Linked DNA regions of Macaca fascicularis. The protein of the gene in region 1 binds, or shares a complex with, the protein of each later gene. Links are inferred from orthologs where the notes say so. Each region holds a gene or a part of one and is shown in the gene's direction. Other genes may lie near its edges.

Region 1 (6,679 bases):
TTTAATATTTTATTTTTTGGGAATTAGATTATTTGTTTTGTTTACTTCTAAACTTTAGAATCATAATACAGTTAAAACAATTCTAGCTGATAAAGAGGTGTATGAGTGTGTGTAGGTGTTATCAATTTTCAATAGTAAATGCAAATATAAAATGTGCAGGTAGAATTTGTAGATGAAATGTAAAAACATTTTTAGTTATATATACGAAAAAATATTGTACATAGAGACCATGAATAAATATTGCTTAGAGAGCAAAAACAAATGTTTTCAAATTTTTTCGTTGTCTCATTTGTTTGTGCTCACCCATTCCTCCTATCTATAAGTAACTGATTTTTCTTTTTAATACAGCACCCAATCCCAATTCTTCCTGCCTTTTCAAATCAAACCTATCCAACAATAGAGCCCGAGCCATTTCTTTACATCGTAGGACGAAAGAAGATGATGGATGCACAGTACAAATGCTATGACCGGATGCAGCAGTTACCCCCATACCAAGGAGAAGGTAAAGAGAAGGATATATATGAACGTATGTTTGAAACACCATTAAAGACATTTTCTTTTGTGGTTAAATATGTGTTGAATAATTTTAATTTAATATGCCAGCAGTTTTCACACTATGGTATGTTTGTGTATTTCACGCAGTGCATATGCCTAATTTCTTTGCCCAAGTTCATCTGACTGCAGTTTGACTAACATCTGCCCTCATGATAAAATGACTGCAATAATTCAGTATTCACACCTGGGGAGCAGGAACAATACCGGACCGAGTGGGGAAGGGGATGTAGAAAATGACAGGAAAGGGAATTGGAAAATAATGGGCAGAGAATTTGACTGAGGTGGATGCTATCAAACCCTATCTTGCTTGGATTAATTAGGTAGTATCTTCCCTTTAACTGTCAACTGGTTGGCAACCCATACTATTCTTCCACACTTTCTGGCCCCACTTTCCAGGAGAATTACAAAATGATACCTCTTAGCCAGACATTGCTTATCTACCAGCTTCTCCAGAATGGCTGTATGTGACTGCCCAGATATTTTCCAGTCTAAACATATTCTATTAGCTGTAGAGGACCCATAGAAAGCAAAAGGGGAGATGTGATGGGCAAGCTCATTGCAACATCCCTTTAAATTTTCCTATTTGTCCCCTGAGGCATTTGAAAAGATTTAATAAGATCTTTTACAATCTCATATATATTTGAGACAGGATCTCCCTCTCTCACCCAGAACGATCCTCCCACTTTAGCCTCCTGAGCAGTTGGGACTACAGGTGCATACCACCATGCCTGGCAAATTTTTGTATTTTTTTGTAGAGCATGTATTTTTTTTTGTAGAGCATGTTGTCCATGCTGGTCTCCAACTCCTGGGCTCAAGAAAGCCTCCCAAAGTGCTAGGATTACAGGTGTGAGACACTGTGTCTGGTCTACTACCAGGTACATTTTAAGACAAGCCAACTTGGTAGGAAAAAAATGGTTAAATATACTCTGTTACTGCACATTCTTTGCTTTCAAATAGTTCAAGTTTTAGTTTGTAGTTCTTATTTTTAGCATTTTCCTTTAAACAAAAACATCAAGTCAACTGAAAGGCAGATACATGTTATTCTTCTGTCTGCAGTAATTTCAGTGTTTATCAAGAACTGAACAGGCATTAGATATAACTCTGACCGAAGGAGAAACAATTTCGTTGAAGCCAATGAGACAATAAAAACACAGTACTGATATTTTCGGGGGTTTTCTGAGAACTCTTTTCATTTTTTAAATAATTTTTGAGAGCTTTCTTGAAAGCCTGAATCTGATTCTTTTGAATACACACCTTTATAGAGGTAAATCTTCATGGTTTTGTGTAGGTTTTTGTTTGTTTGTTTGTTTGTTTTGTTTTGTTTTGTTTTGTTGAGAGAGAGAGGGTCTTGCAGTCTTTGGGGCATTTGCTTTTTTGATAAGCTCAACTTTGGAACCTTTTACAAAGTAGAAATAGAGCCCTGCTTGTCATCCAATGAGATAATTTGGTCACAGATATGCTAAGGCTATTTGAAACTGTATTTCCAAAATCAATGACTTTGGCTCGTTTGAAAAGTAGGTGGTTATGACTGGTGTAGTGAGCCCAGCTCCATGTAATACTGTCTTGAGATCAATCTTCTCATTTAGTTAAATCCACAAGGCTTCAATATTAATTTCCTTCTAAATGGCCAGGTCCATATTGCAATCGCACCTGGGATGGATGGCTGTGCTGGGATGACACACCGGCTGGAGTACTGTCCTATCAGTTCTGCCCAGATTATTTTCCAGATTTTGATCCATCAGGTAGAGTGCTTATTTTCATTTTATGCTTTTGCTATGAATTAGAGTTTTCATGGTTTTAAGAAGAAAATCCGATACAAAATGTACCTACCTAATCATACTCCACATTTCAGCAGCTTCTGAAGCGTTTCCTTAATTGAAATACTGCTTAGTTGTACAAATATTACAAGCTGTCCTTTTTTTAAGGCATATTGCTGGTCAGTTATATGTGTTGGTATTAAATTCTGGTTTATAAACATAGCTTTTCTAAAACTCTGTGAATAGTTTTATTTAAATGTGAGTTTTAAACATTTTTCAATTGTCTCACTGAAAAGGGGGTAGAAATCTTAATTATGAAGGAGACCCAGATGCTGAAACTAAATGGATTACCTATGGGCACAACATATAGGTTGTTAATGGGTGAAATTTGTTCCTGAGAGTAAAGTGAGCCTGAGCCTACAGGGGTTAAGTGGCTTTAGAATCCCAATTAAAGAAGAAAAATGAATCTACCCCTGAAACAATGTTTGAAAAATGCTTTTTGTGCTTCCTTCAAGAGTAAAAGATCTAATTTGTCCCTGAAAACAAAATTTCACCTCAGTAAGGCAGAGATAATGTAAGTGGGATTGCAGAGGACCTCTTTTAAAACCAGTGCAGGCTAGCCACTTCTGGGAATTCCCATTGTGATGGAAAAGTTGGGATGTGAAGAAAGAAAGGGCTTTGTGCTGTGCGCTAAATCGGCTACATTCCTGGAATCTCTAACTAAATGCTATTTGATGATAATCCTTCAGGACCTTATTGACTCTTCCCAATGAATGATGCTTCATTAATCTTTATTTGACAACTACATTAGAAGTAACTTGATTGGCACAAAGAGCTGTTGTGCAGTTGAGGATACTAGGCCAGTTCCAAAGTAACAATGCGGCTCTTGCCAAAGTGGATATAAATATTGACTACAAGGCAAGATTTTGATCAACAAATCAGAGATTTCCAGGCATTGATCCATCTTTTCAGCCTGGTTCTTATACAGAAACCTCTCAGCTGCAGGACAAATTCACTTTAAAATGTGTCTGAAATATATACATATATTCCAAACTTAAATTATAAATACACACACACACACACAGACACACACACACACACACAAAAACACATTAATGAAATGCCAGAGGTTTCACTTTGGAAAAAGTCCTTGGTAAAAGACAGATAGTGAAAGAACTGTATTGAAATTCAAAAGAGGCTGACATTCTGAAGGAATATGCGGGAATGTAAAAAGCAAAATTTAACAAGAAAGCATTTACAGCCCCACACTTGAAGCCAAACAAACAACTTTAATGGCACAGAGCCAAGATGGTCCAAATATGGTTTGGGACAGTGATTCTCAACCCAGATGCCCTTTCACAAAATGAAAAAAAAATGGTGAGCTTTTAAAAAATGCAGATGCCTGACCCTGTCCAGATCAATAGAATTTGAATCTCTAGGGACAGGACCTCAGAATCTTCAAGTAGTTCCCCCATGTGAATCTGGAGTAAGAGAAGCACATCGTACTTTTCACAGGTCAGTCCACACATAGAGTATTTTAGAGAGAAATATCAATCATCAAAGCACATGTGGAGAGTCTCCAGGCTGTGAGCGGACAAGCTGTGGGGAGTGAGTAATGGAGGATGTTTGGTTTGTAAAGGGAAGACCCAGAGTAAACATAATCCTTTCTTCAAATATTGAAAGACTCATCAGGTGAAGGAGAACAAATTCTGGATAGTTGTAACAGTTAAAACCAAGAAATGACTCGATCCAGACTTAAGTTAAAACAAAACAAAAAATACCGTTTCCTATAGCCTCGTTCATGAATGGAATGACCTTTAAGAGTAGCATCTCTCTGCATACAATATATTTTCCCATATCCAGCTACATAACTTCATTGAAACCAAATTATATTCATTTTATTTTAAAAAAACTACTTTCGGCAATCTGATAAATATAAAATGTGGCCACTTTTAAAAATCGCAAGTAAACTTGGAAGGGTTGGTCATTGACAAATAATGTTAGCAAAATAATTGACAAATTTTCAACATCAATTTTTTGTGCTGATCGGTGCTAATCCTTTTTCACACGTTGTTAATGTCCAATAGAGATGCTTTAAATAGGGTTTGTCTGGTGGCTATCTCAGTAAATTTACAGTTATAAGTTTTCTTATTTAACTTTGTAACGGATTTACATGAAGCAGTAATGATTCTAATAGGTTGCTTGAAAACATCTTTTGCTTGAAAAAATATTTTTTCATACATTTTAAATAAAAATTAAACATACAAATAACTCTATAACCTGCAGTTTAAATCTTGCATTTAGTAAAATAATATCTGTTTCAGTCATACAATAAAAAATGATGAATTACACCTAAAAACTGCCAAGGAAAAAGGATTTTTGTACTAGCTCTTAGCAGATTGAGTAACCAAACCTACTAGCAGAAAATTGTTTTAAATATTATCAGATCTCAGTGATTTTTCAGCCAAATAAGGTTCCCTTTTTTTCAGTATGTTTTTTCCTTAGCCTTTAAAACAATAGCAATGTTCTTCAAATATTACCATATGATTCTGACTTCCACATCCTGTGCTAAAAAAGAAAATAACCATCTATAAAAGCATTATCTATAGGTACAGCAATGCTTTGCCTTTGTTAACATAGGAAAATGCTTCAAAAATATTTTCCCTGAGAAATTATCAAAGATTAAAATTTTGTGAAGATTCCAAATACACTTGCAAAATCTCCCTGCATATTATACCAATCTAGGCTTGCTATTTGATTTCTCAGACAATAAACACATCACATAGGTGCTTTGAAGAACTAGAGAATATCTGAATGATTGAGATTAAATTTGGCAAGTACATTCATTTTAATATTTGCTTGTTCATTATTTCTATGTTATTTAATTCAACCTGATTTTTTCTTTCAGTTGCTTGGCCAATTCAGAGGTTAGAATTTAAATATTATCTTGTAGCCAACAACATTATCTAAAATTCTTTAGGTCACTGGAATGGAATATAGATAACCTTGATCATTTATGAGATTTCACCTTCTAGAGTCCCAGTACGAAATTAAAATATTGTTGACCGGTATTATAATACAATCCAGCTAAATTCTAATTTTAGTTAAGTGCCACTTTAGTTGTTTGCTAACAATATACTAGTTTCACAGTGTGTTTATCCTGCTGATAATAATGTCTTGATAAATATTATCTCACCATTCTGACCACTCTTTACTCCCAATATATATTGTGATTTCCCAGCCTCATGCACTTAACCCAGAATCTCAGATATATACTCAGTTAATAATTTAAGCAACATACAGAACAAAGAAGTTTTCTTATTTATTTCTAAGATAGAGCACTTGATGTAGGGTCTGGTAATGATAAGTTATCAAATATTATTTTAAAAAATTATGAAAATTGCTATCATGGCCTAATATTTTAGTATGAATTTCAGCAAAGATATTATGAGTCATCCCCATGAGAACTTATTATTTCTATCAAATTTGGAACTTTACTTTGTACTGATACATATACACTGGCTAAAAAATTAAAATTCAAAAAGCACCAAGGCTTTATCATATTGTAACCAGCACTGAACATATCACACAAAAATAATTGAAAAAACAATAAGCCTGATGAGAACCAGCAGACACCACAAAGCAAGCACTTGGAAGGTTCTTTCTCAGGGCCCAAACAAAATCTTCTTGTCCTTTTCCTCCAAAATATTTTAGTGTAAGCGGAACTCTTAACCTCAGTGAGCAACCCCAGAATCATTGACCTGCTGGTTGGAGGGACAGTAAGATGCCAGGCTTTCCTCCTCTTTGCTAAGCATCAATTTAAAAAAAAAAAAAAAAAGTGGGGGGCCAAACCAGTGTTATCTTTTATTTCTATGCCAAATCCAGTTTCCAGGTGCCATTTACATCGTCTTATTTTCTCACCTACATCTGCATCTTAACAATAAGGGCTTACCTGTTTTGTTTCCTCTGATCAGTTGGCACATTGCCACAGAAATAAGTGGCTTAATTAGTGCTTAATAGCTCTGCAATAGATTTGGAATGAAGTAGACTCGGATTTGATGCCTGACCTTACTGGATGCTAGTTATGGAAGGGAAATTTACTTATATATAAAATGGGAAGAACAATATTCACTTCAAAGACTCATTATTAACGTTAAAGAAGATAATTCTACAAAGCGCTGAGCGGTGCCTGGCCCCCACATAGCGAAGGTGGAGATCTTTAATATGTCAGTCCAGCTGAGTAGGAATTTCATTAACAAGCATCTATGAGATACTTTAAAAAGTAAACAGTAAAGGCTAAAGCCTGGATCCCTATATATTTTCTGTGGGATGAAGAGAGATGATTCAAATGAAATCTCTTGAGAGGC
Region 2 (7,368 bases), about 43 Mb from region 1:
CTTCATCTCCCCTTCTTTGAAGATAGGTCCTCTGTGTCCCTGGAGAGGGGTCACCGAGGCATTTCTGCTGCGTCGGAGACAGAGGCGCCTCATCGACGATGATACCGTTATTTCAGTGTCTGTCCAGCAGGGGGAGCAAGGTGTCCGGGAATGGCTCCCCTTGGCGCCTTCTCAAGCTCGACCCTCCCGAGGTCTAGCCCCAGGACAAGCAGAGCCAAATCCCAAACCTCACCTGGTTCTGTGCTCAGGCCCTCGCCTGGACACGTGGACACTGGGCAGAAGCATTAATTCCAGGGACAGTGAAGGCCGAGCGGCCATGTGTTCCTCTGATCTGGTAGAAGCACCAGGATGTTGTTTCTTCCTCTTAGAAGAGGCCACTTGAGTGTCAAGAAAATGTTCTCTTACAACTATTTAAGAGTAAAAGGAATCACAGAGTAAATATCAGGATAATGGTGAATCAGGACTTGATCAGGAGAGAGACTACACTGCAATCTGAATGGGTAAATTTGGTATAAAGAATTATGAACCGGCCGGGCACGGTGGCTCACGCCTGTAATCCCAGCACTGTGGGAGGCCAAGGCAGGAGGATCACCTGAGGTTGGGAGTTCATGACTAGCCTGACCAACATGGAGAAACCCCGTCTCTACTAAAAATTCAAAAATTAGCTGGTGTGGTGGCACAAGCCTGTAATCCCAGCTATTCAGGGGGCTGAGGCAAGAGAATTTCTTGAGCCCCGGAGGCGGAGGTTGCGGTGAGCCAAGATCATGCCATTGCACTCCAGCCTGGGCAATAAGAACGAATCTCCTTCTCAAAAATAAATAAATAAACAAATAAATAAAAAATACAAAATTAAAAAAATAAAGAATTATGAACCATAAGAGGCGATTCCTGAGAGGACCCCAGTGCTCACAGGATCACAGGCATAGAGAATGGTGCCAGGGCCAGCACCCACCGAGGGACAAGCAGGGAGACAGGTGTTGTCCAGGGTACACCTCATGGTCAGTCTCATTTTTGGTGGCAGCCCTTCCACTCGCAGGGTCGGGGGGATGCACTGTGGAAGGGGTAGGTCCCCCTCTCCCAATGCTCAGCTCCTCACAGCCTGTGTTAAACCCACCTGCCCTGCAGAGGCCATGGGCAGCACTGGGCAGAAAGGAGAAGTGAGGGCCCTGTCTTAGAGGGACATAGAGGACAGTAGACACAACTCCCTGGGAGTTTGTCAGGGCATGGTTGGTTCCTTGGAGAAGAGGTGTTGGAACCAACTCTGCAGGATGGCCAGGGCTTCCCCACTGCAGAGTCAGAGTGGGGAGTCCAGGAAAGGGAGCATTGCTCCCTGGTGCAGGCTTGGGGGAACTGGCTGCCCCCGCTCCCACCTGACGACCCCATCCTCCTGTTCCAGCCTGTAAGCTGTGTGCAACTGCCTTTGGGGCTGTGGGACTGAGTGGGGACTAAGACTCTCCTGGAGAGAGCTATAAGGCCGAGTCTGTGTGGGATGTGGGTGGACACCCGGGCCCGGACCGTCCTCTTGGTTTGTCGTGGCTGGTGTAGGGTATGTGTGTGTGTGAGCCAGACCCCTGCTGCCCTGGTCGGCTTGTTTTGTGGCCCCTGCCTGTGGGCACCAGCAGTCTCACTGGAGGCTCTGTGGCCACCCCTGCACCTGCTGCCCACCCCTCAGGCAGAAGGCAGGACAAATGATCAATTTTAATTAGTTTTGACTCCTTTGAATTAATTCTGGCTGCAATCAGAATTTCTTCAGTAAAAAAGCACAGAAAGTTCTGCTCCCAAATAAGGGTCTTGTTAAATAAAGTGGGTCTTTCTAAGCCAGGAGAAGGTCAGCTCAGCTCCTGGGAAGGTAGCAGTACCTACGGCTCAGAGGAGTGGAGGGCCCATCCGTGTGGGAGCCTGGGCCTGTGCTCCAACCTCAGACCAGCATGCGCCCCCAGGGGTGGTGGGTGGGCCCTGGAGGGCAGAGAGGGGCCTCTAGCTGGCTCTCGGAAGTCCTGGCCAGTGACAATTCTGCAGACACCATCAAGTGTCCACTGGAGCCAGGGCCTGTGCTAGGGGCTGAGGATGACAGAGGCGACCCATCTGGCTAAGTGACCTGTGGCTGGAGAAACTGAGGCCTTCCTTCCCCTCAGGAACCCTGACACTCTCCGAGGCCAGGTCTTTGGGGGCGCCAGATACTCTTGTCCCTCGGTTTGCTTGTGGCTTGGTCCTTGATGTGTGATATATCTCTGTGTGTAGCTGCCACATCCTCCAGTCTCTCTCATACACACTGTTTCCCAAGCACACACTCACAAACACACCTTGTCTCAGACTCAAACTCACACATGCCACACACACACCATACATCACACACTCCATGCACACACATGCATCTACACATACTCCACATGCACATCACACACATATTCCATGAACACCACACACACACACACACACACACACACACACACACCCCAACCTCCTTCATGCACTTTCCTGACCCTTGGAGACCTGGCTCCTAGATGTGTCTCTGCTCAAAGGTCCCCTCCCTGCCTGGGGGCAGCTCTGGACTCTGGTCTACTTTCGGCCAGGGCACACCTAGCCCACCCCCAGGTCCACCTTCCTCCAGTCTACCCGCAGCCTCCTCTAGGCCATCATCAGTCCGCGCTTCATCCACACCTCAGCTCCCTCCCCGGTCTACCCCCACACTCTGCCCCCAGCCTGGACGGAAGTTCCCCAAGTCCTTCCAGCCTGCAGCCCAGCCTACCATCAGCCGGCCCCCACTCTCACTCCAGCTCACCTCCCAGCCTGCCCCTGCAGTCTGCTCCCAAAACGCTCCTTTGCAGCTCAGCACCCCAGTCCCGCCCTCAGAGCCGGCACCCCACCTTACCCCAGCTAGTCCCCAGCTCGAAACCCAGCCCTCACCCCACTCTCACCCCCGCTGAGATTCCAGCCCAGACTCCAGCCGCCCCCTGTCCCTCCCACCCGGCGCGCCTGCAAGGCCTGCACCCCACATCTGGAGGTAACGGGCACGGCTGGAGGCGTGGTCTGGGGGGTGCGGCCTGGGGGCGGACTCCCTGAGGCCCCGCCCCACCCCAATCCCATCCGGGCGTCCCCGGTTGCACCCCCAGCCGGACCAAGCGTGACCCAGCCGCGGCCGGCCAGCCATGGAGACTGGAGCGCGGCGGCGCCCGCAACTTCTCCCGCTGCTGCTGCTGCTCTGCGGTAAGGGGGCGTCGACCCGCACCGGAGGCGCCCCCACTTCCCGGAGTTCATCGGACCCGCGTGGACCCGCGCCTTCCTGCACCTGCGCCGCAGTCCTTCCTTTCCCCCTGAGCTCGGGAGGGGCGCACAGCGACCCTGGCGGGCTCCCCAGGCTCTGCGGGAGGGTTCACCCGGGAGAAGCTGAAGGCAAAGAACTCTGGCGGGCAAGGGAGGCACAGGGTCCCCTCCGGGCTCTTCTGCCGGCGGGGTCCGGCAGTCCCCGCTCCTCCTAGTTGTGATGTCCCCCCACGCCCCAGTTCTGGGGTCGCCTCAGGGTGGGCGAGAGAGGAGGCGGACCAGGCCTGGCTCTTTCCCCCTTCCCCCTAGGATGGGTTGTCGGTGAGGTAGTGAGCTCCCTGTCCTGGCATTGAGTGCCTGCCCACCACTCACAGGGGCGTGGGCGGGTGGACTCCGGACTGCGTAGCTGGTCCTAGCAGGGCCCTTCAGTGTGTGGACGCTTGTGTGTGTCTTGGAACTGGCTGACAGGGGAAGCGGGGCGACTCTCTGAGCCATCCTCTCCTAATGTCTTCTTCCGCAATAAATCAGGACTCTGGGGAGAACCGTTGCTCACAAAATGGAAACAGATTAAACTAAAAGCTTATTTTGAACTACCTTACTAAAGAAATTATCCAAGAGAAAGTGAGAGAGAGAGAGAGAGAGAGAGAGGAGGGGGGGGGAGAGAGAGAGAGAGAGAGAGAGAGAATGTGTGTAAGGGCTGTTGGGGAAGAGTGCTTGCTGAGGGCTGGAGTACACTAAGTGGCGACTGAGCCTGGCCAGTTCTGGGGGGACACTGGTGAGGGAGGGCCCTGGTCTGGTGGTCCCCAGTTTCCCTGACTGTAAGATGCAGCGTTGGGCCTGTTTTGATGATTTGGGATTTGGTAAGGGAGGTGGGAAAAGGGTGGACCAAACTCAGTGTTCATTTTCCTTCCATTGAAGAGGTCTTGGTGTGCAGAACATGTGTGGCTTCATTTGGTGTTCCAGGGCTGGAGCCTAGGACGTGGTTCATTTTGTGTTGAAGTGCAAAGGTGCGTGGCAGCTTCTGAAATCAGGAACATGCTGATTTGGGATTTCAGCAAACTTCCAGTGAGCTCCCCTCAGGTGGAGATCTTGGTCACTATAATGGAAGGAAGGTCCTCTGAATTCATTCTGGGAGAAGCTGAGGCTTTCCTAACCATCTCCAGTATGGAATTGAGAAGGACCACAGGCTTCCGCCTGCACAGAATCCCTCCTCTTAATAATCCTGTCTCTTGTGGACCCAGTTCCTGAGGGTCACTTCTTTGTCTTGTTGTGTTGGTCCTGACTGTCCCCCTCCAATGGGACATGGGTTCATGCTCCCTGGCCAGAATGGGGACCAGGCCCAGCTTCTCAGCAGACCCTCCCAGTGTTTGCCTGGCCAGAGTGAGATTCAGAGAGAGGTAAAACTTGCTCATGGTTCCAGGCTGATGTGTCAGAGGTGGGACTGGAGCCCACATCTGCCCTGGATGCTGCTGTATCTGGAAGGAAGGAGCTGGGTGGGTTCCTCTTGAGTGAGGACTGGCTCAGGGGGACCAGCAGGGAGGGTGCTGACCTCTGGGGCTTCTTTGAGAATTCCAAACCTTTTTCCAGAAAGCATTTGATGCTGTGCAGGGCTGTGGGGATGCAAAGTCCAGCAGTTGTCTACTCAGCAGGATGCTTTGCTGTTTTCTATTTTGATTCAGTTCCTGCGACTTTTACTAATGCAGCCAGTAGTCCAGCCCTTGACTGGACTCTTTTGGTCTGGGTGAAAATCCCGATCATGATCCCAAGATTACAAAGCACTCACTGGCCTCAGTTTCCCAGCTGCAATGTAGATGTAATAGTAGCAACCTGCAAAGGGCTGCTGAGACCGTCAGTTTGATTCCATTCAGTTTAGTCTTTATCGTCTTGTGTTGGGCATGGGATTGTGGGGTGGAAGGATTCATGCTTAAACAAGGGGAGGTGTAGGAAGGCACCCACCAGTGACTGCACTGGGCCTCATGAGGCTCACTCACAGCACCCAAAGATGGAGCACCATAGTGTGTGTGCCTGTGTGTGCAAGCATGGTACCACCATTTTTATCACTAAATGATGTCCTGCTACCATGTTACCTGTGGTCACATTGATTCTGCTGAATCAAGTGGGCCCAAGGGCCGTGGTTGGATAGCAGTAACTCTGGTGAATTAAAGACTTGGAGGTGGCAGGCCGGGGGCAGTGGCTCACGCCTGTAATCTCAGCACTTTGGGAGGCCGAGCAGATCACGAGGTCAGGAGTTTGAGACCATCCTGGCCAACATGGTGAAACCCCATCTCTACTAAAAATACAAAAAATTAGCTGGGTGTGGTGATGCATGCCTGTAGTCTCAGCTACTCGGGAGGCTGAGACAGGGGAATCACTTGAACCTGGGAGGCGGAGATTGCAGTGAGCCGAGATTGTGCCATTGCACTCCAGCCTGGTGACAAAGCGAGATTCTGTCAAAAAAAAAAAAAAAAAAAAAAAAAAAAAAAAGAAGACTTGATGGTGGTGATTGGCCAAGAAGAGGCCCATAGATTTTTGGCACTGGAGGTTCCTTGGAGGTTATCTGACCTCCATGCTCTTACCTACTCTTCATAAGGAAACAGAAGTCTGGAGGGTTGAGAGGAAGTTGCCCAACCACAGAGAACAGGGGCAGAACCACCCAGAATCCACAGCCTCCCAAGGTCGACTGACCATGGCCCATGGCAGCCACTTGCCAGTCTGATCGATGCTCTTTCTGTTAAGGATGGGGAGAGCGCCTGCGTTTCATTTCCAAATGACTAGCCACAAAAGCCCTTTCTCGCGGAAGTGCATCTGTTTGGCTGTTTATCATCTCTCGGCGTCTGGAAGTCCCTGAGACAAAAGAAACACAGGCCGGCATGTTCTTTGTCTCCCAATGAAACCAACCAAAATGGATTTCTATTTTGATTCAGTTCCTGTGACCTTTACTAATGCAGCCAGTAGCTTGATTGGCAATGACCCTCTTTTGTGGTGTTGCCAGGAATCTGTCTTTACACCATTGTTCTAACATTGGGTGGGTTGTCAGGTTTTGCTGGGAGCCCCTCAAGCCTCATGTGCACTAGAAATGAGCTTCCTGGGAGGACACTTGGTCTCTCAGGGTGCCTGCCTTGTGCAGGCCCAGGGCTGGCGCTGTCACAGGCATCCTCATAGCACCTCCATGGGCAGAGAAGTTATCTCAGAACACCTGCCTGAGGATGGCCTGTGGTCCTCAAAGGCACATTTACAATCTGCCCAGGCCAGGTCCTTGCCATGGGGCATGTGGAGGTTCTGGGGTATGCAGAGATTTGGGGCATGCAGAGATTCAGGGAGGGGCATGTTGTCAGGGACCCCTCCTTCTCTTTAGATAGCTATGCCACCTGGGTGCGTGTTTGTAGAGTCCTGGGGGAGGGGCTGGGCAATGCCCTGGCACTGGGGGTGGTGTGGAATTGATGCTATCTTTGCCTGGCTCAGAGGGGGAGATCAGGGGCTCAGGGAGAATAATAGTTGCCAGAGGGTAATGGATACTTACCAGGACCTTGTCCCAGAGCTGTGTTTCAGAGCATCATGGTTAATGTGAAAATGCGGCAGATGCAGGCCCTGTATAGGGAGGTGGGCTGTAGGAACAGCCACAACTTGGGCTGGCTGCGGCAAATACCTGCTAGGAATGGGCTTGGGGGGAGAAGGCAGTGGTTCAGATTCGTTCTAACTTCCAGGATGAGGAGGAAGGAAGGAGGGGAGAGGAAACAGGGGATGGAGAGGAGGGTAAAGAGGACGGGGGAAGGAGGAAGAAAGAAAGAAGGGGAAGGAGAGGGAGGCGGAGGAGGAAGAAGAACTGGGCTGGGTCTTGGTCTGATAGGTGACAGTCAGAGCACGCTGAGGGGGCACCAGGCCAAGGGGTCCAGGTCTAGGGGTTCAGATTCAGACCTAGGGGTCCAGGTGGACCAGGCTGCAGGTGTGGGCGCTGGCCAGGAGGGACAGGGTGGGGCTAGCCTGGCTCGTGCCCACTGGGATGGTGGGCCGAGCTCAGGAGACCCACCCAAGGGTTCTGAGATAATCTGTTAGGGAATGACGCCAGGCCCAGGGATGAGGACAGTAGCTGGATGTGGAGAGCAG
Region 3 (7,212 bases), on another chromosome or scaffold:
AGGCTCCCAAGTAACTGGGACTACAGGCATGAGCTGAGTACCCAGCAAGAGTGTTACGTTTTTTAAAAGTCACTGAGGCTGGGAACAGTGGCTTATGCCTGTAATCCCAGCATTTTAGGAGGCCAAGACAAGTGGATCCCTTGAGGTCAGGAGTTCAAGACAAACCTGGTCAACCTGGTGAAACCCTGTCTCTACTAAAACACAAAAATTAGCTGGATGTGGTGGCGTGCACCTGTAATCCCAGCTGCTCAGGAGGCTAAGGCAGGAGAATGACCTAACCTGGGAAGTGAAGTTTGCAGTGAGCCGAGATTGCACTACTGCACTCCAGTCTGGGCAACAGAGCGAGACTCCATCTCAAGAAAAAAAAAAAGTCACTGAACAATAGGAGTATAAAATCCCATTTATGCTTTTCTTTAAAAAAAATCCAAAATATGTGGGAAATGAGATAGGAGTGGGGACACAAAGTTTTCTGGGTTATATATTTTGCAACTAGTATATACTTATATATTACTTGCGATTTAAAAAGTGTATTTTTTAATAGCAAAAACAGAAAGGGGCTTAGAAAGGGAAGGTGAGGGCCCTCAGCAGTGGAAAACAGGGGACTTCCCATGACAAAACCAGCTTCTGTTTCTTATACAGCCCTTCCTCCACCCATTGCTACAGATCATCAGATCGTGGGACTATCCCCTATGGCTACATGGAAAAGAAAGGTGAGGTCTCCTGTCCCTATTCATCTCCAAAGACCCCCAAAGTAAACCCTCAGTTACCAGGATGCTCTCAGAGGTCAATAAAAACATTCAAACATCCAACTGGCACGGAAAAGTGGAAGAGGAAAATCAAAACGAGAGAAAATTCCCAGATTCTCCAACTAGACAGTTTGGACACCCGAGCTCAGAAATGACTATAATAAGCTCTCCTTCGGAGGTCTCAACATCATGATGCAAACTTAACCCCAATCCTAGTCTAAAAATAAAACTTCCTGAGGGCCAGGTGCGGTGGCTCATGCCTGGAATCCCAATACTTTAGGAGACTGAGGCAGGAAGATCGCTTGAAGCCAGGAGTTCGAGAGCAGCCTCGGCAACAAAGCAAGACCCCATATCTACAAAAAATAAGCCTGTTGTCCTAGCTACTTGGGAGACTGAAGCAGGAGGATCTCTTGAGCCCAGAAGCTCAAGACTGCAGCGTGCCATGATTCTTCCACTGCACTCCAGTGTGGGCAACAGAGTGAGCCTCTACTCCTAAAAAGTAAGATAAAAATAAAATAGGAACTTCCTACCAAGTTACCTATATTTTCTTTTTTGATCTAAAGGCCATTTTACATATGAAAATCTTGAGCTCCAGAGATGTGAAATAACCTGCCCAAGTTACTTGCGGTAAGACAGAGGCAGAACCTACCTTCAGAATCCCCATCATTTTTAAATTTTATCCATTATCATTATCCATTATCATTATGCCATATTGTCCTTTTTTTTTTTTTTTTTTTTTTTTTTTTTGAGACAGGGCACAATCACAGCTCTCTGCAGCCTCGACCTCTGGGGCTCAAGTGATCCTCCTGCCTCAGCCTCCCGAGTAGCTGGGACTACAGGTGCATATCACTATGCCAGGCTAATTTAAAATTATTATTATTTTTTTTTTGTAGAGACAAGGCTTCACTATGATGCCCAGGCTCTATTTTAAATCTAACATTTGCTTTTGTCCCCTTTAATCTTGACCCCAACCCCAGTCCTAACCCATAGTGGGCTCATGTGCTTCTGGCCCCAACCCAGTGAAAATGGCTTGTTTTGCTTTCTGCACCTCCTTGCTCCCTCCTCCCATCTTATCACCCAGAAATCTACCATGTTTCCTTCTTGAAAGGAGCAATCCTAGGCAGGCAGGAAGGACTAGATTTGGTCCCAGCCTGAAACGTCTTGGAGACTGCCTGGCTCCTTTCTGAATCATTATAGAAATGATCCTTACCAGGAGGACTTTGGAGTTCACGTCAAGCAGGCCATTGACTCTCTCCCACTGGATTCCTTGCAAAAGCAGCCTCTTGACCATAGAGGAGGACAACAGGTTATCTGTGCCCATGATCCAAGAGCTTGAGATCCTGAGATGAAGACTTCAAGAGAGATCATGACAGATAATTTGTGGTGGGCAGTAAACTGGGACAACAGCAGCAGCTGAGTCCAAAGGTCAGTGTCTGGGAGTAATTTAGGAAAGTTTGGTGCTGACAGCTGTGTCTGGGACTTGAACATCATGGCCAAACCAGCTCTTGGGTTCCTCAGCTGCCTCAGAGTAATGAACCTCTGGCCCAGGACACAAGAGGCAACTGTGGTGTGGCCAAAGTCAGGGCCCCTGGAGGCCCAGGCTCAGCCTTGCTGCTTCCTTAACGGTGTGACCTTAGATAAGTCACTTAGGAAAAGAGGAAAGGAAACTAGCATTTAGCGAGTGCAGTGCCCTTTCACAGCTGCCATCGTCACTGTTTGGTGAGGAAGCGAATGTCCCTATTTTACACGAGAAGTCCTAAAGGTAAATGTGTCATTCAAGGCCCTATATCTGGGGAGTAGGAAGGCAGAATTAGAACCCAGAGCCTCTGAATTCAAATCCCGGGCTGTTGGCCCTGAGCTTTAGTTTCTTGGTCTGTAAAATGGTGATACACTCACCAGGCACATGAAGTGGCACACTGAAGGTTCTAAAACCCCTCCCTTCTTTCTCCCAACCGTGGTCCTGAAGAACTGTGGCACCTTCTTCCTGGGAACGTAGCCATCGTATTTTGTCCCCCCCACAACAGGTTTGTGGGGTCTAGGCCCCAGGAGGTATCTGAAGGGAGGGTATTTGGACTTTGTTTTCCCCTCTACCCCACTCCGCAGACCTTTTCCCGACTCCGGAGGGCCGGCTCCCGCTTCTCCTCCCTGGTTTTGGCTGGTGGGCTGACATCAGCGGGTGTTCCTAGGGATAGGATAAGGAACCCTGAGCTGCCCGGCTCAGCTCCAGGCGCCCCTTGCCCCACAACCCAAGACAGCCCTTTAGATGCAGCGGCGTCGAGAGGCCGCTGGAGCTCCCAGCCTCCTCCCTGTTCTCCAGGTCTGGGAGAGCAGCTTGCCGACCCCTACAGACCCGAAAGAGAGAGAGCGCGACTTGAATCCAGGGAGCGATCCTGGGAGACCCTGGAGAGTCCTGGGCGCCACGCAGCCGAGCCCCCGAAATAGATCCCGGTTCCGGGGTTCCGGGAGCTGTCCAGCCTCGCGGGGTGAGCTACGAGAGGGTGGGCCAACGCCGGCGAAGCGGAGGGAGCCGCGGGCGCCAGGCGCGGGTGCGGCAGCTACTCCCCCTCCAGCCTCTGGCCCCGGGCGTCGCCCCCGCCCCCCACGTGGCCGCCGCCGTCCCAGCCCCTCCGAGGAAGCGGCGCGGCTTCCTGCAGCTTGGGCTGGGGATATAGGCGCCCCCACACCCGGGCCCGGCTCAGCGCAGCCGCCGCTCCTCGCCTCCTAGCTGCACGATGGCCTGGCTCCGGGTGGAGCGCGCCGGCGGCCCGCGGCTCCCTAGGACCCGCGCCGGGCGGCCGGCAGCGCTCCGCCTCCTCCTCCTGCTGGGCGGTGAGCGCGGCGCCCCGAGGCCCGGGAGGGAGGCGCGGGAGGCCCCGGAGGGGAGAGGGGAGAGGGGCTGGATGGCCGAGGCCGGAACGGGCCCGGGGTCCGGGTGCGGACCGACGGACCGAGCAGCACTGGCCTTCGGACGGTCCCTGACCCCACCTCGGGGAGGGCGCAGCACGAGCTGCTTCCCACCCGGGGAAAGCTGGGGTGCCGGCCCCGGCCCTGCGGAGAGGGCTTCGGAGGACAGGAGCTGGCCAGAGGTGAGGGGGCTTTGGGCCTGGGTGTGAGTGACTAGGAGCTGGTGCCAGCCCCTCCCTCCCCGGCACTGAGGCGTCCGTGGGGGCTAGATTATTCCTCCTTTTCTTCCAAGGTAGCCCTGTTTACGGAGGGTCTCAGTCCCCCAACCCCGTCGCAGGCTCCACTACCTGGGTCCCCGCTATGCTACCCTCCTCTCCCGTTTCTTCCCACAGCTGTCCTGAAGCCCCATGAGGCCCTGGCTCAGCCTCTTCCCACCACAGGCACAACGGGGTCAGAAGGTGGGTACCCGGGGTGTGGAAGGGTGGCCGAGGGCAAGGACGACAGCAAGTTCAGTGGGGAGGGTCCCTTTCCCACAAGGCCTGCCCCACCCCAGCTGATGCCCCACTAAACTCCCCTCTGTTCTCTCTTGGGGTTCCTTGCAGTCTTTCTCCCTGTCCTCTCACGTGCAGGTCGGCCCCTGCGCGGCTCTGAGCTGCCCACCTCACAAGTGGGCTAGAAGACCCCAGGAAAAGGTGTACGTGGAAGTTCTTATCAGGCTGGGATGGAAAGTGCTTAGCACATGGAAGTCATTACATGATTCCTGAGCTGGGACTCTGTCCTCCGCCAGAATGTCTTGCTAGGGAAACTTTCTGAAGGGTTCCCACGTTTGAAGACAGGCAGTTCACCTTGCAAGCACCTGGGCAGGAGGGTTTGGAGGGAGGGGCAGGGGTGTGGTCATTGTTCAGCATCTGTACCTACAGGGGTGACGGTGAAGAACTATGAGACAGCTGTCCAATGTTGCTGGAATCATTATAAGGATCAAATGGATTCTATCGAAAAGGATTGGTGCGACTGGGCCATGATTAGCAGGTAGGGGCAGTGCTGGAGGGTGGCTCAGGCCAGGGGGTGGGCCTGCTCATTGCAGGTAGACCTTGAGTGAGTGTGGGGCACTCTTCTCCCTGGGCCCACCCCCTCCCTCACTCAAGTCCTCTTCTGCCCCTAGGCCTTACAGCACCCTGCGAGAATGCCTGGAGCACTTTGCGGAGTTGTTTGACCTGGGCTTCCCCAATCCCTTGGCAGAGAGGATCATCTTTGAGACTCACCAGATCCACTTTGCCAACTGCTCCCTGGTGCAGCCCACCTTCTCTGACCCCCCAGAGGATGTACTCCTGGCCATGATCATAGCCCCCATCTGCCTCATCCCCTTCCTTATCACTCTTGTAGTATGGAGGAGTAAAGACAGTGAGGCCCAGGCCTAGGGAGCCACGAGCTTCTCTATAACCACCTTACTCCACTTCCCCACACCAACCAGGCCTCCCTCCTCCCCTCTTACTCCCTTTTCTCACTCTCTTCCCCACCACAGATCCCTGGATTGCTGGGAATGGAAGCCGGGTGGGGTAATGGCACAAGTTCTGTAATCTTCAAAATAAAACTTTTTTTGTACAATGTCCTTCTTCCCATTTCAGTGGAACCTGTGTCCTTCCCTGCCACTCCCATAGGCCCTCAGCTCTGGGTAGTAGAACTGGAAAAATCTGGATGGCCCATTGTTCTGTTCATTTCACCTGCCCCCCTGCTCCCTGCCTCCATGAAGGTCACACCCCTATATTCTTTCCTCCCAGGCGGGCCTTTCCTGTCCTTATCCAAACTCAGCTCCAGGAAACAAGCAGGAAGAGACTCCCTTCCGGTCTGGACAGCAGCTGGGGGCCTGCAACTGAGGAGGTGTGGGGGAAGGGGCAAAGGAAAAATCTGTGCTTGTGACTCCTGCAAGAGGAGCAGGAGGCTGCCCAGGAGCCCTGACTATTCCCCTTCTTCATGCCTCAGTTTACTCCCAGGGCCTGGGAAGAGGAACCCTGACTGAGCAACAGGAATCCATTCCTAAGGACCTCACAAATGTGGGAGAAAGCAGTGGGGGCTTCCTTTACTAGGTTCACAACCCCCCTCCACCTCCCTTGCCCTCATCCTACATTGTCCTGGACTGGGTGTGGCCTACAGCCTAGCAACACACTGCCCCCTGGTGTCCGCTAAAGCCAGCAATCAGGAGACCTATGTGATCTGGAAGAAGCTCAAGGCTGAGGAGCACTGGACCCTGGGGTCAGAAAACCGCCATCTCCACAGCAAACAGTTCCTTGTGTGTTTGTTTTTTGAAACAAAGTCTCACTCTGTCACCCAGGCTGGAGTGCAGTGGCACAAACATGGCTCACTGCAGCCTCGACCTCCTGGGCTCAAGGATCCTCCCACCTCAGACTTCCAAGTAGCTGGGACCACAGGCGTGTGCCACCATGCCCAGCTAATTTTTTTTTTTTTTTTTTTTTTTTGAGATGGAGTCTCACTCTGTTGCCCAGGCTGGAGTGCAGTGGCGCAATCTTGGCTCACTGCAAGCTCTGCCTCCCGGGTTCACGCCATTCTCCTGCCTCAGCCTCCTGAGTAGCTGGGACTACAGGCGCCCGCCACCACGCCCAGCTAATTTTTTTGTATTTTTAGTGGAGACGGGGTTTCACCATGTCAGCCAGGATGGTCTCGATCTCCTGACCTCGTGATCCACCTGCCTCAGCCTCCCAAAGTGCTGGGATTACAGGCGTGAGCCACTGTGCCCAGCCCACCCTGAGCCTCTTCAGGGACTTTCCTTCTTGTTGAAATATCTGCCTCCTTGAGTACATGCATGTCCATTTCTTGGGGCATCCTGCCTTTTCCATATATACTTGTATGCTTCCTGGAACATGCCTATTCATTCTCTGAGACACACATCTCTCAGGGCACATCTGTTTTTCTAGGCACACATATGTTCCCTAAAAATATTTTGAGTTTTCTGACTGGGCGCAGTGGCTCACACCTGTAATCCCAGCACTTAGGGAGACCGAGGCTGGTGGATCACCTGAAGTCAGGAATTCGAAACCAGCTTAACCAATATGGTGAAACCCGTCTCTACAACATATATAAAAATTAGCCGGGTGTTGGGGCGTGTGCCTGTAGTCCCAGCTACTTAGGAGGCTGAGATAGGAGAATCGCTTCAACCTGGGAGGCAGAGGTTGCAGTGGGCTGAGATCGCACCACTGCACTCCAGCCTGGGTGATGGAGTGAGATTCCGTCTCAAAAAAAAAAAAAAGTATATATATTTTGAGTTTTCACCTGAAATACAGGTTTGCTTTATTTCTATGAATGCATCTGTCTTCCCTAAAGGTATCTACTCCCTTTGTGGCATGTATTTGCCTTCATGCATTTTATTAATGTACATCAAAGACCTGCTGGTATAAGACATTGTGTGCGCAGTGGCTCACGCTTGTAATCCCAGCACTTTGGGAGGCTGAGGCGGGTGGATCACGAGGTCAGGAGTTCAAGACCAACCTGACCAAGACAGTGAACCCTAATCTCTACTAAAAATACAAAACTTGGCCAGTTGCAGTGG
Region 4 (7,435 bases), on another chromosome or scaffold:
ACGTACTTTTCTTCATGATTCTTGTGCTTGGAGTTTGGGGATGTTCTTGGCTCATGGGTTCATAGAAACTGTTCCACATGGTGGTTTTTCACATATTTCCCACCCACCTTCCTCTGGGGCTCCAGTTACACCTTGGAGTTGCCACTTGGAGTTGCCTCATGGCTCTCTGATGCTTTGTCCTTTGATTGTTTTTAAGTTCTGGAATGTAATAGCTACATCATTTGGAAATCATTTGATCCTGTTATTTCTTGCTTTTAAGTTTTGTTAGGCAGCACCAGAATAGCCTTTGTAATTTTTACTGACTACAGAGAGGGCCTTACCCTTCTAATTATGCTCTGATGTTCTGTGTATTTCAAGATTTTTCCACTATGGTTGGTGGGAACTGGAACTATTCCCAGTCAGGTGTGAGCTCTTAGGCTGTTTTCCCTTGGGTAGCGTCCTTAGATGTGTGGGCTGAGACTCAAGTGGGACCCTCTGTGATCTCTCACGTGCATTCTTTGCGCAGCTCTTTCCTCTCTGGTACTACGCCCTGCCAGCGTTAACTGCCTGGCTTCCCCAAACTCTCTTTGGGTTTCCTTTCTCTCTCTGTGGTCTGCAAACTCCAGGCAGTGAGCAGTTCTCGCACTCTATTTGTTACCCTGCTATCAGGGGTCCCTGCACTTCTTGTGGTCCACTGTGACAACCATTGTTTCATACATTTTATCCAGTTTTTTAGTTTAAGATGGGAAGGTAAGTCCAGTCCCTGTAACTTCATCTTGGCTGGAAGCAGGAGTCTTATGTTAATAGTGAATTTTTAGCAGTGTTGACCAGGCTTTGATTGTTATCTTTAGCCCTACTGTGTATGCAGTAAAGCATTTGGCCATTTTCTAATCTCTTCCGTTGTTTAACCTAATGTCCCTCTAGATTGAGGTACCCTGGGAGAGGAATGATTTTCCATGCTACCTATGACAAATTAGAAATACAGATACATTGAGGAATACAGATACATTGAGAAATACAGAACTTTTGAAAAAGGGAAGCCCATAGTAGTTGCTAAGGAATCTCTTACTTAGACCCAAGGTACAGACAGGAAAATCATGAGGAGAGAACCTGCCTCTAGGTGTGTGCCTCACTTCAGCATTCTCCAGAGAACCATGAATTTCTAAAGCACGTGAACTTGAGAAACAGGCTTTGTCTTCTTAGGAAAATGTATCCTTTAGGGAGTGTTGAGAAAATGGCGGTGGCCTCTGGCCCTGCCTCCTTGCAGTCAAGCTTCAAAGAGAAAACGTTGGGAAGACAGACTCCTGCTGAGCCTGATGAAAGAGGCGTCCCAGTTGCCAACCACAAACATGCAGCCGAAGTCCACAAGCTACAGTAGAAAGGGTGGCTCAAGCCAGAGAGTCCCTGGGTATGGAGTGCGGGTGATGGTTGCAGAAAGATGCAGGCTCTTCTCCCCCACTGTGACTGGCTGTCACCTAGTGCAGGATGCACGGTGGCCCTGTCCCAGGGCTGTGCTGGCATCCACCCTTCCCACTAGCTGTGCTGCTCTCACATGGCACGGCCTCTGGCTGCCAGGCCTGTGCTTGGGCCTGCATTCCCCTTGTGCACTTCTCTCCACCCAGCCCTCAGGACTGCCTGGGCTGTATTTTGTCCAGAGTCCTTTGTCTCCTTACTTGCACTGCAGCTGAGGCAAGTGTCCCTTGTTCTGTATGGCTCCTGTATTGTGGCGCTCATGTTATTGAGAGTTTTAGAGGTCACCCCTAGATTCACCAATTGAAGGGCAGGGCTTGTTGATCTAACACTGTCTTGCACATAGGGACACAAATGTCTGTTAAATGAAGAAAGTAGGGAGGCCAGGCCACCCAATGGGGTGTATCTCCTAGGGTTCAAGAAGAGGGGCTAATCAAGTCAAGAGAATGTGTGCCCTCCCCCACCATCTCACCCAGACCCCTCACTCTCAGAACACTTGGGGCCCCCGCGCAGGTGGTAGGCATGCTGGCCCTGAGTGCCCTCTCAGCCTGTGTTAGAAGAACCGGTGGATGACCTCGCTGTCGGCTGTCTCCCCTTCTCTGAGCTTACTGCAGGTGGCAGCAGCCTCTCAGCCACAGACTGTTCCCTTTCCTAGGAGGAAACGTTGGTCACTCAGCAATGCTGTGTGCTTGCAGCTTCCACCACAAAAGAGACAGCTGTGGCTGCAGCACCAGGGTGGTGATTCTTCCCCCTCCAAGGGCAATGGTGCATTCCTTAGCGCAAGTATAAATGTACTGTTGCTAAGAGTTATTGGAACAGGATAATACAAGAAGGAACCATTGCAAGTGAAATCCAGCCACCAGTAATGCCCTGAGAGGCCAGGCCTGTGCCTCCCAGAACCTGCTCCTCCCCAGGCTTCCCCAGCCCATCTCCAGAGCGCCCTTCTCTCACCACTTTACATAAACGAATGTACCCAAGATCCCCCATCAGTTCTCCATGCAGCTGCCAGAGTGACTGCCCCCAAAGCAAACCACGTCTCTAAGGACTCTGGCCAGGCCCTCACAGCCTCCTGCCAGCCTCTTGCTATCCATCAACAGCAAGACCCCTAGGCCATCTCAATCCCCGCAAACAGCTCTGTTCCCTCCAGCCCCACGGCTTCTGTTCACCTGCCGTGCTGTCCCCGCCTCTGCCCACCCACTCATCCTGCAGATCTGGAGCAGCATTCCAGGGCCTGGTAAGTGTGCGCCATTTTGGGTTACTACGAGTCTCGTCAGGCGCGGCGGCGAGTTTTGCCCCCACCGCTCCCCAGAGCCTGCACCTGGGCGGAGAGGTAGATACAGCTGGGAGATCTTAGCCTTTTGCAAGGCAAACACCAGGCAGGAATGCCGAGAACCTCGGAGGAGGAGGAGGGGAAGATCCCCAGGTGGAGACCAAGATGCTGCTCACGCTGAGTCGTCTAGGAGACCCTTCCTAGTTTAAAAAGTGTTTATTTGCTCGGAGAACATTTCAGCAGTCATCCCTCGGAGCCCAAGTGTGCCGCCCCCCGGGAGGGGCCTGGAGACGCCCGCGCGGCCCCCCTGCAAGGTTTTCCCAGCCCTGGGCGTCCCCAGCCCTGGCACCCACCCGGGGAGCCGCAGTGGGCCGGTCCGCGCGGCCGCCGCCTCCCACCGCTCCCGCGCCCGCTCCCGCCCCCGGCGCGTCTCCTCCTGGCCCGCGCGGCGGCGGGCTCAGTCCTCAGCGGGGCGCGTGGCGAGCGGACTCGGCTTGGCACCGCTGTGCACCATGGCCCGGGCCCTGTGCCGTCTCCCGCAGCGCGGCCTCTGGCTGCTCCTGGGTGAGTAGGGCCGGGGGTCCCGGTCGAGCTCCCTTCCCCCGGCCAGCCGGTGTCCTCTAGGGGAGAGGAGGGGAGCGGCGGGGGGACGGGGAGCGGCAGGGGGACGGGGAGCGGCAGGGGGGCGGGGAGGGCGGGCGCCGCGGGCGCACGGATCTGCTGCCCTTGAACGCGAGCCGCCCGGGTTCCAGGCTGGAGGCCCCAGGGCACAGGAGAGGCGGAGGGCGCGGACCGGGGTTGCGCTTCTCGCTGGGGAAGGGACGGCTTTGGGGACGTCGGGGAGCGGGCGTTCTGAAAAGCTTGGGGCAAGTCAGCCCTGCACACTGGAGAACTTGTTTTCAGAAGGAAAAAAAGGACGCGGGGTTCCCCAGCCCCGCTCCTCCGTTTCTCAGGCTGTGCGCCGCGGTGACCGCCAGCGCAGGCTCCCTTCCCTAGGGTCCCGCGTTGCAAAACCTGCAGGCAGGCACCTTGCAGAAGACGCAGTGTTTGGGAATCAGAACCACAGCCCGTTTGTATGGAAATTAGTCAACACTGACAATCTGTCGCATGCAGCAGTTGCTTGTTTGCAAATCATGTCTTTTCGGGACATTTCCATCGCTTTTTTTTCTTTTTTCTTTTGGTTTGCTTGTTAACTTGGCACTTTTGGCTAATAGAAATTTAAAGAAGGACGGGTCCCTTGGTGAAGTGGTGGAACATGTTTGGCTTTCCACTTGGAGGGAGAAGTGGAGATTATCAACAGCCCAATGGCCACAGGAACTGGCCAGACACTCAGCAAGAAACGGTCCTGTTCACTTCCCTTGTCTGTAACGTGTTTCTAAAATGCTAACTCAAGCCCCTTCTAAGCCGCTTTGGTTATTGCATTATTCCGTGTATTTAGCTCCCTTTTAATGGCAACAGAATAGGTTCTTGGCGTGGGAGAACCCAGTGCCCCTGGGAAGGCCGGAGCAGTTGTTTCTGGTATGTGTGGCCTTTCCCCAGAAACAGTGATGTTGGTCAGAGGCACCTGCCGCACAAGACTCCTTGGCACTGGCACTGAGCAAGCAGTGACCACCGGCGCTGTTTTTGTAGCTGGGGGAGCAGTTCGTGGCCCAGCAAGGAGAGGGGCCAGGGCTTCTTGGGAGCCATGGATTTCTGGTCCCTATTTGTAAACCTCTCCAAGGGGTGGCAGATCTGCATAGAATCCTCAGAGGCCAATATAATATAATCTGAAAGCGGGTCTTGCCACTTTAGAGTTTTGGCTGAAGTTGCGTGGAAAGCAAAATCTCAGAGTAATTTTATTCTCTCCATTTGGCTTGACATGGCCTTCACTGTTTTCGTTTCCTAAGAAACAAACATTTCTTTGTTAGCAAGGCAGAGAGCTGGCTTGTGGAATATTTTTTATATAAATAACCAGATAAATAAATGTTCTTTACTAGTGTCCAGAGGCTGCACCCTCTAAAGCTTGTGTAAATAAAACACTATGTCACGATCATATATAAAGACCTTACTTGTTTATCAAGAAAACTAGTCATGTTCTGCCGAAAGTCCAAAGTCCTGTAATTTTAACATTATTTTGAGTGGCCTGGCTAATGTTATGTCTTGGAAGAACAAGCACAACTTTATGAGGTTATCAGTAAATGAATGTCATTGGAGCCCAGCTGTAATTAGTAGAATTACTGAGCACAGGCTGTTTCCTTCCCAAGCTGCAGCACTAGCCAGATCTCCTTGGTGATGAAGATTTTGCTATCCAGAATGGCAACATGGAATTTTTTTTAAAGTACTCTAGTTTACAGGTTTGAGAACTTATCTGTGACAATTTTACAATCAAGTTATTTGTCTTAGGTAGTTATTAAGAATCTCACCATCTGACCAGGCATGGTGGCTCACGCCTGTAATCCTAGCACTTTGGGAGGCTGAGGTGGGTGAATCACCTGAGGTGAGGAATTCCAGACCAGCCTGGCCAACATGGTGAAACCCCGTCTCTACTAAAAATACAAAAAAATTAGCCAGGCGTGGTGGCGGGCGCCTCTAGTCCCAGCTACTTGGGAGGCTGAGGCAGGAGAATCACTTGAACTCAGAAGGCAGAGGTTGCAGTGAGCTGAGATGCCACTGCACTCCAGCCTAAGAGTGAAACTCCGTCTCAGAAAAAAAAAAAAAAAAAAAACTTAGGATCCATATATAGTTCTTTTCCCTCTGAGCATCCTGTGTACTCTTGTGTTTACAGGAGACTCTACATGCATTCTTAAAGGTTTGTGTATAGACACCGAAAAGCTGTTCGTTAATCAGGAAAGAAGGATGCGTCAGAAGCCCCTGGTTTTTTGAGTCCATCTTCACTCAGGGAGTGCTGGCTGGTGCTGTCACACATGAACTCAGTCATCTGTCCTGGGAAACGCATGCCCTCCTTGTCTGTCGTGTAGGAGCTAGGGGTTTTTTAATGGCTGCAACATTAATTGAAATATATGACTTTATATAAATACAAGTAGAATTGGAATGACGGGGACATCACAGGAAATGCTATGTGACTGCTTCAGATGCCATGTGGTTTTAAATCTGGACACAGTTCTCATGCCAAAGTCCAAATCTGAAGGATTCTTATTTGCTAATCAACCCAGTGTGTTTGTTTACCCTGTGTGTTTAGCTGCAGGAGGAAATTTCTGGATTTTTGTCTTCCTTCCATAGGCGCATGCCTGTCAGTGTGCTTATTGCCAGTCTGAGGCCGGGGCTGTTGAGAAACATTTCTATCCGCAGTGCGAATGGTAGATTCAGCTCCGGGAAGTGTTTGAGGTGGAATCTTTACTTAAGGCTAGTTGGAAAAGTCTGTCCTGATTTTTTTCCCCAGAATGCACCCATTTCTTAGCTTCTAATCAGTTACAACTGGCGTCTGGCTGACTGTGTGATGCAGGTGCCGTGTGTAGTGTGAATTCCAGGGGAAATGATGAGCCCAGAGAGTGAAGCCCCTCGGGCTTGCCCGCCAGTGCCCCCACCCCCAACTCAGGCCTAGAACCCCTCTTTCCTGATGGTCCTTGTGGTATGGTGGGCTGGCCCTCAGTGGGCCCTGAGCCAGGCCTGGCCATCCAGATGGTCCCAGGGAGGAGACTGGCCGCAGGCTGGACAGTCAGTGTTCTGCTGGAACCACGGGGAAAAACTGCGTCCTTCCTCCAGGCTGGATCTGAGTGGGGCTGCCACAGTCTACCCTGTGAGTCACGGGAGAGCACCTGTCCATGACACAGACAGAGCCCTCCTGACACCTTTTGAGCCCCTAGATCGAGCTCATGCGGTACACATTTCCATCATGTGACCCATAACGTTTGAGATGGGTGTCTGTCCCTTGCAGGGATGGTGTCTGGTAGACAGCAGGCTCAGGGGGCTCCCAGAATGGCGTACCTGGGGGACTGTGGGAATCCTGCCTAACAGCCTCCTCCTCCACTGGGGACCCAGGGGGGCCTCCTGAAGGAGGAGGCGCTGCAGCCAGGAAGACAGTGGGAGCTGGGAAGGGGACAGGGGAGCCTGGGCTGCAGTGGCCCTGGTGGCTCCAGCACTTGCTGGACCGTGTGCCCACTGCCCCTGCCCATCAGTTTCTTGGTGACAAATGAAGAGGCAGAGATGGTACTGCCAGGGCACTGTCCAGTTCCCAGCCTGCCATACCCCCTGCTTACCTCTGACACATCCCACAGCAGACACACGAAGCCCCGGAGGGATGTCCTTGTCCCCAGCCCTCTCCGCTCCGGAACAGGAGGACCCCCAGCTGGGTGATGTTCCTGGAGGACCTGTTTCTCCTTGTTGAGGAGGGTGCATCAACACGGCCACCATAGGAGAGCTCCCAGCCCAAACAAAATCGTGCTCACTTCACCGAATGATGTTCTTGTGTTCAGGAAAAATATTTTTTTCCTAAGATGTTTTATTTCAGTAATTTCTGCAGCATCCAAAAGGCATCATTTTAACCATCTTTTAAATCACGGGTTCTGGGTGGCTTTGTTGGAGCAGGGTCCACGGGGACACACTAGCCAGACGTGGCAGGGGTGCAGGGCTATGGGCCTGAGTCGCAGCCCCCGAGACGTGGCAGGGGTGCAGGGCTATGGGCCTGAGTCGCAGCCCTCTAGACGTGGCAGGGTGCAGGGCTATGGGCCTGAGTCGCAGCTCCACTGACTCTGCGTTCTCAGCTGTCTCAGTGACTCC

Evidence for each region.
Region 2: the proteins of CALCR (region 1) and RAMP3 are in contact, whole or in part, in a cryo-EM structure (PDB 8F0K), measured with the Homo sapiens proteins. The link is inferred for Macaca fascicularis from reciprocal best matches to the Homo sapiens genes CALCR and RAMP3. Residues at the interface, in NP_001158210.1 of Homo sapiens: Arg45, Lys46, Met49, Asp50, Gln52, Tyr53, Lys54, Tyr56, Asp57, Met59, Gln60, Arg74, Thr75, Trp76, Asp77, Gly78, Asn124, Arg126, Phe235, Leu238, Ile242, Thr246, Gln257, Arg258, Trp261, Tyr262, Leu264, Leu265, Phe269, Ile276; in NP_005847.1 of Homo sapiens: Cys57, Leu59, Ile63, Tyr66, Glu67, Thr70, Tyr83, Trp84, Pro85, Gln90, Ile93, Thr94, His97, Arg98, Phe101, Ser102, Cys104, Val106, His110, Leu111, Glu112, Asp113, Pro114, Val118, Leu119, Leu122, Ile123, Pro126, Val127, Leu129.
Region 3: the proteins of CALCR (region 1) and RAMP2 are in contact, whole or in part, in a cryo-EM structure (PDB 7TYX), measured with the Homo sapiens proteins. The link is inferred for Macaca fascicularis from reciprocal best matches to the Homo sapiens genes CALCR and RAMP2. Residues at the interface, in NP_001158210.1 of Homo sapiens: Arg45, Lys46, Met48, Met49, Asp50, Gln52, Tyr53, Lys54, Tyr56, Asp57, Met59, Gln60, Trp76, Gly78, Arg126, Phe235, Leu238, Ile242, Thr246, Val250, Glu255, Lys256, Gln257, Arg258, Trp261, Tyr262, Leu264, Leu265, Phe269, Pro273; in NP_005845.2 of Homo sapiens: Trp86, Tyr93, Ser94, Arg97, Asp98, Glu101, Leu109, Pro112, Glu117, Ile120, Phe121, His124, Phe128, Cys131, Pro136, Phe138, Ser139, Asp140, Pro141, Leu146, Met149, Ile150, Pro153, Ile154, Leu156, Ile157, Leu160, Ile161, Leu163, Val164.
Region 4: the proteins of CALCR (region 1) and RAMP1 are in contact, whole or in part, in a cryo-EM structure (PDB 9AUC), measured with the Homo sapiens proteins. The link is inferred for Macaca fascicularis from reciprocal best matches to the Homo sapiens genes CALCR and RAMP1. Residues at the interface, in NP_001158210.1 of Homo sapiens: Arg45, Lys46, Met49, Asp50, Gln52, Tyr53, Tyr56, Asp57, Met59, Gln60, Gln61, Thr75, Trp76, Asp77, Gly78, Asn124, Arg126, Phe235, Leu238, Ile242, Thr246, Val250, Ala251, Gln257, Arg258, Trp261, Tyr262, Leu265, Phe269, Ile276; in NP_005846.1 of Homo sapiens: Trp59, Ile63, Tyr66, Arg67, Ala70, Asp71, Phe83, Trp84, Pro85, Val89, Asp90, Phe93, Leu94, His97, Gly98, Phe101, Ser103, Arg109, Ala110, Val111, Arg112, Asp113, Pro114, Ile118, Leu119, Phe122, Ile123, Pro126, Ile127, Val129.

The regions. Positions count from the first base shown.
Region 1 is NC_088377.1:127,838,051-127,844,729, forward strand, and holds part of CALCR (calcitonin receptor), read left to right. Parts: intron 1-348; coding exon 349-502; intron 503-2,186; coding exon 2,187-2,297; intron 2,298-6,679. UniProt on the Homo sapiens protein: G protein-coupled receptor activated by ligand peptides amylin (IAPP), calcitonin (CT/CALCA) and calcitonin gene-related peptide type 1 (CGRP1/CALCA).
Region 2 is NC_088377.1:85,175,723-85,183,090, reverse strand, and holds the start of RAMP3 (receptor activity-modifying protein 3), read left to right. Parts: upstream 1-3,111; 5' UTR 3,112-3,149; coding exon 3,150-3,207; intron 3,208-7,368. UniProt on the Homo sapiens protein: Accessory protein that interacts with and modulates the function of G-protein coupled receptors including calcitonin gene-related peptide type 1 receptor (CALCRL), calcitonin receptor (CALCR) and G-protein coupled estrogen receptor 1 (GPER1).
Region 3 is NC_088390.1:63,815,939-63,823,150, forward strand, and holds RAMP2 (receptor activity-modifying protein 2), read left to right. Parts: upstream 1-3,007; 5' UTR 3,008-3,009; coding exon 3,010-3,229; exon of another isoform or gene 3,230-3,478; coding exon of another isoform or gene 3,479-3,575; intron 3,576-4,042; coding exon 4,043-4,108; intron 4,109-4,570; coding exon 4,571-4,679; intron 4,680-4,812; coding exon 4,813-5,068; 3' UTR 5,069-5,255; downstream 5,256-7,212. UniProt on the Homo sapiens protein: Accessory protein that interacts with and modulates the function of G-protein coupled receptors including calcitonin gene-related peptide type 1 receptor (CALCRL) and calcitonin receptor (CALCR). Required for the transport of CALCRL to the plasma membrane.
Region 4 is NC_088386.1:133,756,068-133,763,502, forward strand, and holds the start of RAMP1 (receptor activity-modifying protein 1), read left to right. Parts: upstream 1-3,178; 5' UTR 3,179-3,231; coding exon 3,232-3,283; intron 3,284-7,435. UniProt on the Homo sapiens protein: Accessory protein that interacts with and modulates the function of G-protein coupled receptors including calcitonin gene-related peptide type 1 receptor (CALCRL) and calcitonin receptor (CALCR). Required for the transport of CALCRL to the plasma membrane.